Schizosaccharomyces pombe: one gene and its partner. The protein of the gene in region 2 purifies or fractionates together with the protein of the main gene of each other region. This does not show direct contact. Each region holds a gene or a part of one and is shown on either strand. Other genes may lie near its edges.

Region 1 (5,495 bases), 1.4 Mb from region 2:
AGGTCAATTTGCTTAACTCCAAGTCGACGCATGCTCATAAGTACTTCTTGACGTAAAAATTTGGGTGCTCCACAAGGATGCCATTCATTTGGACCTGTACGAACAAGGCCACCCTTGGTAGCAATTATAAGTCCTTTGTAAGGGTATAAAGCTTCTCGTAAAAGATTCTCGCTGACCTCAGGGCCGTAAGAATCGGCGGTATCAATAAAGTTAATATTGAGTTCAGGCAAACGTTTTAAAGTTGCGATGCAAGCCTCTTTGTCTTTGGGTTCATCCCATATACCATCACCGGTAACTCTCATTGCTCCGAATCCCATTCTATTGACAACCATGTCGCCAACCTTGACAGTCCCAGCTTGTGAAGCATCTACGGCGGAAGAAGCTGCAGTTTTACTCATTTTTGTGTCTTTTGTCGCTTTTCTTAGAAATCAAGATCAAGTACTATAGTGGATCCGGTAAGTGTGGGATGTCAGACGCCGTTTCCTTTTATAGTAATTTTACATGGTGTATTCCTTACATAAGCTGGATTGATGCGGACTATCTTAAACCACGAAAACTGATTTATTACATACCCTATTTACAGAATCCAGTGGTATGATGTAAGAGCGCGTTAGACAATATATTGTCATAACGATGACTAATACTATTATAGTACGATATTGCTGGTTGGATTTTGAATTAGAGTAAATAGCTAAGTCCTTTTTGATTTGGCTCTTATTCAATTTAATGATAATTTTATGGTTCCAAAATCTGATGCTGGATGAATTGTCTAAACTGTATCTCTGTCTTCTTTTGCCAGCCCATTTTTATTCATGAGCAACGATGGTCGCACATAACGATAATGATCTTTATTGCTATGTTTCTTTCTATTCAAGATAATGTGGATTTATATTTTCCATCTTCTTGAATTATGCTTGATCGTGCTATCAAATCGTACTACGAGTTATCATTTGGAGACCACAAATGGGTTGACCAGTTCCGTAAATCGAGGTAAACATTGCACATAATAACAATTCTAGGACTGTATTTGAAAGGAAACACATTTTTTGAATTTAGTTGATGATGCCAGTATATTATTAGTGTTATTGACATTCAGCAATTTGTTGTGTGTTTTATAAACACACTAAATACTTTGTACAGTTGCAAAACTTGCGCTCTAAAAATGTTTGCACCGCACTTTTACAATGGCTATTTACTCTTACTATTGTCTTCGAAAAGCTTATAAATTTGGCTGCTAAACATGGGTCGGTAGCTCAAATCGTAGACATAACCAGTCTTTTAAGGTCTCAATTACACCCATGTACGACTTTTAAGGAGGAAGTTGGTAAATAAAAAAGTATATTTGGTTTTCAATAATTACGATTCATTCCTTTCTATCAAAATGAGACGATGTCGTTCTTCGGCAACCTTAAAGAGTGTAGTGGAAGTTACTGAGCCGATCATATCTCGTTTAGAGAGTATAAAGACAATGATTTCTCTAGCTCATTATCAAAGCTTAACGAGATATAAATCGCAGTTGAGACATGAATGCGCTAAAGCTCGAAAACTTGGTTACACTTTACTTCAAATTTGGTAATTACCAAAAGTTGTGCATTGTGGGTACTTGGCAGTAACTGATGATGGAAGAGGATTTATATGATGAGTAAGTGGTCTAAAAACATTTTATAGTTATTTCTAACTCGCCAGGTTTGGAAATTACATAGGCCCTGAAAATGAAGAAGATGAAGAGGAGCTGTTTCCTCAGGCTCCTAGCCCTACAATTGCACAGGTACCATCCTTTGAAGAGGTCATTCCTGATGAAGAATTAGAAGACGTTGAAAGGGCCGAGGAAATGGCGTTGAGTCATCTAGAGCCTCAGAATGCCGTTGTTCTTCACGAGGATAAACAATATTATCCTAGCGCTGAAGAGGTATATGGGTCCAACGTGGATATCATGGTTCAGGAACAGGATACTCAACCCTTAAGCCAGCCCATTATTGAGCCAATTCGTCACAAAAGGATTGCTATAGAAACAACAAACGTCCCAGATACTGTATACAAGAAAGAGTAAGTATGTGTAACAATGTCTTTTCTAACTTTTTAAGGTTCCTCTTCGGTCTCTTAACTGGGACAGATGACGTTAGATCTTTTATTGTTGCTGGCCATCTGCATCACGGCAAAAGCGCTTTATTAGATTTACTCGTTTATTATACCCATCCTGACACCAAGCCGCCAAAAAGGCGTTCACTTCGATATACCGACACTCATTATCTTGAAAGAGAACGTGTGATGTCTATAAAAAGTACTCCACTTACGCTCGCAGTTTCTGATATGAAGGGTAAGACGTTTGCATTTCAGTGCATCGATACGCCTGGTCATGTCGATTTTGTTGATGAAGTCGCTGCTCCTATGGCCATAAGTGATGGTGTTGTATTAGTCGTTGATGTTATTGAAGGTGTAAGTTATTCTGGCCTTTTCTTGCGTTTTGAAGATATAAAGATTCTAACATGCTTTAGGTGATGATTAACACCACTAGAATTATCAAACATGCGATTCTTCACGATATGCCAATTGTGCTCGTCTTGAACAAAGTTGATAGGTTAATCCTTGAGCTACGTCTCCCTCCGAATGATGCTTACCATAAACTTCGACACGTTATCGACGAAGTAAACGATAACATTTGCCAGATTAGTAAAGATTTGAAATATCGCGTTTCTCCTGAGTTAGGGAACGTTTGTTTTGCTTCATGTGATCTTGGATATTGTTTTACATTGTCTAGTTTCGCAAAACTCTATATAGATAGACATGGAGGTATCGACGTGGACTTATTTTCTAAAAGATTGTGGGGGGATATTTATTTCGATTCGAAAACCAGAAAATTTGCCAAACAGTCCTTGGATGGCTCTGGCGTTAGAAGCTTTGTCCATTTCATATTAGAACCGTTGTATAAATTACATACCCTTACTATTTCTGACGAAGCCGAAAAACTCAAAAAACACTTATCTTCTTTCCAAATTTATTTAAAACCCAAGGATTATTTATTAGATCCTAAACCACTCTTGCAACTAATTTGCGCATCGTTTTTTGGATTCCCCGTTGGTTTTGTGAATGCAGTTACTAGACATATTCCATCGCCTCGAGAAAATGCCGCTCGTAAAGCCTCTCAATCATATATTGGGCCTATAAACTCTAGTATCGGCAAGGCTATCTTAGAAATGAGTCGTGAGGAATCAGCACCATTAGTCATGCATGTTACTAAACTTTACAACACCGTCGATGCTAATAATTTTTATGCATTTGCTCGTGTATATAGTGGTCAGGTTAAAAAGGGTCAGAAAGTTAAAGTTCTTGGAGAAAATTATTCTTTAGAAGACGAAGAGGATATGGTGGTTGCTCATATTGCTGAAATATGTGTACCTTGCGCACGATATCGTCTTCACGTTGATGGAGCTGTTGCCGGCATGCTAGTTCTTTTAGGAGGTGTTGATAACTCTATTAGCAAAACAGCAACCATCGTTTCGGACAATTTGAAAGATGATCCTTACATTTTCAGGCCAATTGCTCACATGTCCGAGAGTGTTTTCAAGGTGGCTGTAGAGCCACACAATCCATCAGAATTACCAAAACTACTTGATGGCCTACGAAAAACAAACAAAAGCTACCCACTATCTATCACAAAAGTAGAAGAATCTGGGGAACATACTATTTTCGGTACTGGTGAGATGTATATGGATTGTCTACTTTATGATCTTCGGACTTTATACTCTGAAATCGAAATCAGAGTTTCCGATCCAGTTGCTCGTTTCTGTGAGACTGCGGTGGACACATCAAGTATCAAGTGTTTTTCAGATACTCCAAATAAAAAAAATCGTATCACAATGGTAGTTGAGCCATTGGAGAAAGGAATTTCTAATGACATTGAAAATGGAAAAGTTAATATCAATTGGCCTCAAAAAAGAATCAGCGAATTTTTCCAAAAGAACTACGATTGGGACTTACTAGCTTCACGTTCCATCTGGGCTTTTGGTCCCGATGATCGTGGTACGAATATATTGCGGGATGATACTCTTAGTACAGATGTTGATAAAAACGTGCTTAATAGCGTAAAAGAATACATTAAACAAGGTTTTCAATGGGGGACTAGGGAAGGTCCTCTATGTGATGAGACAATCCGAAACGTGAATTTTCGCCTGATGGATGTAGTGCTTGCACCTGAACAAATTTATCGAGGAGGTGGTCAAATTATTCCAACCGCAAGGAGAGTGTGTTATTCTTCTTTTTTAACAGCGTCTCCACGGCTAATGGAACCAGTGTATATGGTTGAAGTACATGCCCCCGCTGACAGTCTTCCTATTATTTATGATTTATTAACGCGTCGTCGTGGTCATGTCCTCCAAGATATCCCTCGGCCAGGTTCCCCATTATATTTGGTGAGAGCACTTATTCCAGTCATTGATTCTTGTGGATTTGAAACAGATTTACGAGTGCATACTCAGGGTCAAGCTATGTGTCAAATGGTATTTGATCATTGGCAGGTAGTACCTGGTGATCCACTGGATAAGTCTATCAAGCCCAAGCCATTAGAACCCGCACGTGGCTCTGATTTGGCGAGAGACTTTCTGATTAAGACAAGACGTAGAAAAGGTCTGGTGGAAGATGTTTCTACAACTCGCTATTTCGATCAAGAAATGATTGATTCTTTGAAAGAAGCAGGTGTCGTACTCTCTTTGTAATGTCGGTTTTAAGTCTTTATAATGGATTTTGCAAAAAAAAATAAATTGGGTAGATTTTAATAATAAAGTATACGATTATTTATGAAAGTTCGAGAAGTCTAACAACTTTTTTTTGCTTTCAAATCTCGCGTTTACAGTGTATGAAATCCGAAAAATCAGCGCATATCTTGAAGCCGTAAATTATTTGTGAAATCCTTGATCAGAAGGAAAAGTCGCATTTTGGTTTTACGATTTTAGTATATAGATAAATAACTTCTATTATTTATTTTTTTATGTTAAGAAACTAACACTCAACTGAAATAACGTAATTTCATAGTACTATAAACACCCGAGGTCATATGTCATGAAGTTACCCTCTCAGTATACCGGAAGACTTTAGGGACATATACAACTTCCGGAAGTGCTCTGCTTTTGGAAGTAAAATACAGCGAGTTTAGTTAGATTAGTTTATTATTATCCTTAAAACTGAAGATGGGTTTGAGACTTTTGTTTTCTCTCATTTGCGTATTTTGCATATCGAACATTTTTACGCAAGCCTTCTTGGTGCATCAAATATATGGTAATTCCAGCTTCACAAAAATATCTTTAAATCAACTTGAGGGCAGAGATTCTCAAGAGGAACTACAAAGGCGTCAGGAAATCCGATATTATGGTCGTGCCGCTGAAACTGGAGGAACTCCTACTTACTACGGGTATGCGACACCCACTAGCTCTAGTGAACCCAGTATCTTTTCTGAATCTGCTACTCCCTCAGAAACTAATTCTTACTCGTCTCCGGTCAGC
Region 2 (5,633 bases):
AATAGCAGCCGCTCAAATTAAGAAAGTGTTTCTGGAACGTCCATTAAGCCAAACCCCTTTAGATTTGCCAGAGACACTTGAGAATACTCAAATTGATATATATCCCTCCTTTAAAACTGAATCCACTGATGATCAACTCGAGAAAGTTACCCAAACTAATGTTGCTTCAAACAAGCGTGTTGCTCCGTATGCAGATAGTATGGCAAATGTTGGTTCTCCAGAATCTGATTGCTTTTCAGTAGCAACATCTTCCGATATTCCTAAAGCCAACATCGATTTTACCAATGATATTTCTACTCAGAACACTTTTCCAGCTTCTCCGGTCTCAAATTCAGGTTTCAGTAGACAAACGTATCCAAATATAAGCCAAAGACAAGGCGTTAATATGCTTTCTCATAAGCGGAAAAGTGCTAGTACCAGTGACAGGCGATTTGTCAATGCATCTTCAACAAGTGGGATGAACATGCCTATTTCTTCTTCAATATCTGCAAAAATTTCCAGTATACAGAATTCTACAAAATACTCACCCAGGAAGCCCATTCCAGCAAAAGATGTGCGGGTTAGCTCTTTAGTGCGTAGATTTGAAGAGCTAAGTTTACAATTACAAGAAAAGCAAAAACGAGATGAAGAATTAATAAAGGCTCGACGCAAGCGGGCTCTTCCTGTAGTCCCATCTAAGCCGGTAGTAGAAGTATTTAATGACCTTAATGAAGCATTTGATGATGAAAATTCCGAAGATGAGAATGGCATTAATGACACAAAAGAAAATCGCGCTACCGAAAGCAATTTTTCTGGAGTTGATTCTATGAGCAAGGAGCGAGAAAATGTTTCTTCGAATGAAGACAATTCACCTGAAGCGTTTGAAGATATTTTTGGAATTCTTTTCAAAAATGAATCTGGCCTCGAAGAACAGCAAAACCTTGAACCTTCTAGTCAAATGGATAAAGAGGGATCAAAGTTGCCAACTTCTGGTCCTTTGGCTGACAAAACTTCAGTTTACAGGATTTTATCTGCATTTTGGAATGAATGGAACTCCCTCAATCCTCCACCTTTTGAATTTCCTCTACAACCTACAGAGCATATGTTTTCCGACTCAAATGTGATCATAAGGGAAGACGAACCTAGCTCCTTGATAAGTTTTACTCTTAGCTCTCCTGACTATTTATCAAAAATGGTAGAAATTGAAGATAGCATGGACGAAGCTTTAACCAATCAAGGCTTACAAGGCTCGACGCAATTCAAAATTGAAAACTTAATGCTCAAACCAACGGGGACGCATTTGAAATACCAGTTTGAAGAAGGATCAGCAAGACTATCCTGTAAGGTCTTTTTCGCGGAACAATTTAGTGCTTTGCGAAGAGCTTGTGGCTGTGAGGAGACGTTTGTGACATCTCTAGCGAGATGTTCTCTTTGGGAATCTAGCGGTGGAAAATCTGGATCAGCATTTTTAAAAACTTTCGATAAGAAATACATTCTCAAAGTTCTGTCAAGGTTGGAAAGTGACTCCTTGCTTAATTTTGCTCCAGCTTATTTTGATTACATATCTAAAGTTTTCTTTCACGAGTTGCCAACTGCATTGACTAAAATCTTTGGATTTTACCGCGTAGACATTCGAAATCCTACTACTGGTACAATCTGTAAGACTGATATAATGATTATGGAAAATGTATTTTATGATGAATGTCCGTCTAGAATATTTGATCTTAAAGGTTCCATGAGGAATCGACATGTAGAATCTACAGGGAAGGTAGATGAAGTATTGCTTGATGAAAATTTGGTTGAACTTATTTACGAATCTCCAATATTTGTTAGTGAACAACTAAAAAGTCTTTTGCATTCTTGCCTTTGGAATGATACATTGTTCCTCTCAAAACTCAATATCATGGATTACTCTTTAATTGTTGGTATTGATTATACAAAAAAAGAACTTTATGTTGGAATAATTGATTTCATACGAACATACACTTGGGACAAAAAACTTGAAAGTTGGGTAAAGGAGAAAGGCTTAGTTGGTAGAGGTCCTGAACCAACAATTGTTACTCCAAAGCAATACAAAAATAGATTCCGAAAGGCTATGGATTGCTATATTTTAGCATCTCAGGATTTTGAGACTGGGGAAGGTTTTAAGTTTTGCGAATAGAAGAAACGTTAGTTTAATGTATATATTTCGCTGTTTGGTCAAGAAATATGAACAATCTTTTTAATCCCAGTATTTGATAGACCCATCAACTATAGATGATGTAGCTACCTTGCTTGTTTCTTGAGGGTGGAACGCCATGCTTTGTACGGGTCCACTATGAGCCGGGAGTTTAGCCATTAGCTTACAGGTTTTCCAATCTAAAAATGTTAGGTGTTTTTCCAATTCCAAGCACTTACCCCAGAAACAGGCATTTCCGCTCGAATCTCCGCTAAAAACAAATCTCCCTAAAACTAGTTAGAAATTCGTAATAAAAAATGAACGCCATACCATCAGGTGAAAATCCAACTTCTAGGCTATAACCTGAACAACTGTATCCCTTAAAGACCTTCTTTTTGTTTTGTCTATATTTCTCGTATGCCGAATATACGTAAATGCAGTTATCTAGAGATTGACATGCTATCGACTTTCCATTTGGCCGTAAGGCAACCCGAGGCATTGAATGCATTGCAATGTCAGCCACAAATTTTATAGGAACTGGAGTTCCGTATTCCCAAAATCGCATTGAAGAGTCATCAGATGTGGTAACGAAGCGCTTTCCGTTTTCAAGGAATGTTATGGAATTGATTCCGCCGAGATGATGATCGTATGCTTGAACAATATCAGGACTTCTGATATCAAATTGAAGGATCCTTTTGTCAGCTGTTCCTGCTAAAAACTCGTTGGGTTTATCAGGATCTACTTGGAATTTGACGCAGTTTGTTAATCTATCTGAATTAAAGCAGTTCAAACATTTCCCTAATTCGGTATCCCAGAGTTTAATTGTTTTATCAAAACTAGTACTTAAGAATGATCGTCCATCTTGGCTAAATGATAAATCGCGGATAGGACGAGCGTGTCCTTGGAATGTACGAAGCAAAGAACGGTCATGGTAAACTTCCCAAATCTAAATATTAGTTTATCATCTTTTTGCTTACAAACATACCTTTATCTGATTATCCATTGAGCCAGAAAGAAGTAAATGGCCACTAATCGGAAAAAACCTAAGGCAGGAAATACCTTTCGTATGACCTTTCCAAGTGAATATATGCTTCTTTGGAATGTAACAAGTTTGTTCACCAGGCTCTTCCGATAAATTTATTCCGACGTCATTCGGGACATGCATATAGCTTCTATTTTGATAATCAAATAATCTATCTTTATGAAGTATAGTCTCTTCTTTAGAGCGATGAGTTTCAACTTCTGGAGTAGCTAATTGTTCCTTCAATAATTCATTTTGACCCAGGTTATTAGATTCCGTATCCTTTTCACTTTTGACATCCAGGGATTCAACCTCTTCATATTCACTGTACTCCAAAGGTGAAGAGGATTGTTCAGAACCGTATCCGGCCCATGGCCCCTTATAAGCACCATCCCCTTCAAGGATAGATGGATCGCCAGGATCCTCTCTACGTTCTTTTATTTTCTGGGACTTCCTTTTTAAATCTGTAGAAGTAGTAGCTTCGTTATCATCAAAATTTCGTTTTCCATAAATAGCATGTGTATTAGCATAATATTCTTGATTAAATACAAAATTTGGAACATATTCCCTCTCAGCATAACCGGTAATACTGTTCTTTATAGAATCCTGTTCTTTAGTGACAAATGGATTTGCAGGCCCTAAAGCAGGCTGCACCATTTCATTAACCGGGACATTACGCGCTAATTCTCTAGAGTTTCCTCCCTTTGAAACAATTAAATCATCCTTTACCTAAAATGATTAGCATGTTATAAAAAACATTTGATAAATACGTTATCAACCACAGCTGGCGCTAAATTTTCAGTATGCAGAAGAGGTTGGATGTTAGGCGATTGGGAATTCTCCTGTTCTTCTGAATCACTAGAATAGTTTGCAACCAACATAGAAATTGCAAACGGCGAATATGAAACCAGCAAATTCGTATGGTAATGGTTTAAGGAAGATTAAGCTGTAGGGAGGTTTAGCGAGGATGAGAGATTCCTGGCTAATATCAATTAGCGAAAATGAAACACTACAGCTAACTCATACTTCTGCTTATTAGGATAGGTAATAGATAATTCATTGATTAAAAAATAAAGGAATGTAGTAAAAACTAGAAATAAAGTTAGTTATTTAAAGAGGCATGGACTTTTTTAAACTGTAAAAGAAGTTATCCAGTAGTGCATATACACGACGTATGATAAATAGTATTTAATTGAAGTTTGTTTGCTCACATAAGCTCATGACTTTAAAAATTTCATTTTGGTACGATAGTTTACCCCTTTAGTAAATTCATTTTCTAGTGTACTCACAGTATTTTTTGTGTTTGCAAGGCTAGGACAGAGAACCTGTGTAAGTCTAATTTTTTGAAATTATAAATTTTTTAAGAGTTTTTGTTGATTAAACTTTTTCTTGAAGAAAGCTTTGAAAAGCAAGCTTTGTCAATTCAAATTCAAGAATTGGTTTAGTAGATTTAGCTTCTAATTTAACGAAGGGCTTTTGGACATCATAAAGGGTTACTTTGTTACTTTCAATTGTACTAAAATTAAAAGCGACGCACCTATGCATCCTCAGTTGTGAAAACAGCATTCTGGTTTCTGAATTTTTTCAATAAAAAGAATTTTATGTTGAAAAAATGTGGATAATTGAGGCTGAGGGTGACATTCTAAAAGGTATCTCTTACTAGCTATATCAATTTCATTATGGCCGTATTGTACGTACTAAACAGCAGGAAAATCACGGATACTATTTCCAGGAACTTATATTGTAGGTCGAAATGTATCTGGTAAGTTTCTTATTTTTGTTAATTTTCTAATATTGCAGACGATTCGTCCCACATTCAAGTGATTTCTAAATCAATTAGTAAACGCCATGCTCGTTTTACGATTTTGACCCCAAGTGAGAAAGACTACGTACGTATCCAATTAAATGGAAATATTGAGCTTTTCATTTTTCATTTCTATTATATGTTTATCTTTCTTATATTTTAAATCAATGCCAGCTAATATGTGCACAGTTTACCGGTGGCCCATGCGAGTTTGAAGTAAAGGACCTCGATACGAAGTTTGGAACCAAGGTTAATGAAAAAGTTGTTGGTCAAAATGGTGATTCTTACAAAGAAAAAGATCTTAAAATACAACTGGGTAAATGTCCATTCACGATAAAGTAAGTTTTATCGACTATATATGATTTACTAACTTTAAGTGCATACTGGAGAAGTATGTGTATACAATTCGATAACCCTGAAATGTTATCCCAGTGGGCTTCAAATTTAAACCTCTTAGGTACTTCGGTCTTTTTTTTTTTCACTTCTTATCAACTTTCAGGTATACCGACTGGACTACGCGATAGCGATGCTACTACCCACTTTGTTATGAACAGACAAGCTGGGTCCAGTATAACTGTTGGAACTATGTATGCTTTTCTTAAAAAAACTGTAATTATAGATGATAGCTATCTTCAGTACCTATCAACTGTTAAAGAATCCGTAATTGAAGA

What was found. Proteins that work in one complex are often made in the same cells at the same time.
Region 1: the proteins of prp17 (region 2) and cwf10 purify together in Schizosaccharomyces pombe (affinity purification with mass spectrometry; 3 studies listed by BioGRID, with this or other methods). This does not show direct contact.

What each region holds. Positions count from the first base shown.
Region 1 is NC_003423.3:4,050,985-4,056,479, forward strand, and holds cwf10 (GTPase Cwf10), read left to right. Parts: upstream 1-1,571; 5' UTR 1,572-1,616; coding exon 1,617-1,642; exon of another isoform or gene 1,643-1,686; coding exon 1,687-2,046; intron 2,047-2,084; coding exon 2,085-2,436; exon of another isoform or gene 2,437-2,495; coding exon 2,496-4,712; 3' UTR 4,713-4,995; downstream 4,996-5,495. Other genes in the region: SPOM_SPBC215.11C (aldo/keto reductase family protein), read right to left, coding at 1-398; protein Mtl3, read left to right, coding at 5,184-5,495. UniProt on the Schizosaccharomyces pombe protein: Component of the U5 snRNP complex required for pre-mRNA splicing. Binds GTP.
Region 2 is NC_003423.3:2,650,052-2,655,684, reverse strand, and holds the start of prp17 (Prp19 complex WD repeat protein Prp17), read right to left. Parts: upstream 4,092-5,633; 5' UTR 4,040-4,091; coding exon 3,929-4,039; exon of another isoform or gene 3,888-3,928; coding exon 3,123-3,887; exon of another isoform or gene 3,084-3,122; coding exon 2,468-3,083; exon of another isoform or gene 2,425-2,467; coding exon 2,377-2,424; exon of another isoform or gene 2,338-2,376; coding exon 2,201-2,337; 3' UTR 2,141-2,200; coding exon of another isoform or gene 1-2,140. Other genes in the region: 1-phosphatidylinositol-3-phosphate 5-kinase Fab1, read left to right, coding at 1-2,140; Mre11 complex BRCT domain subunit Nbs1, read left to right, coding at 4,771-4,807, 4,867-4,920, 4,959-5,047, 5,152-5,300, 5,340-5,419, 5,462-5,633.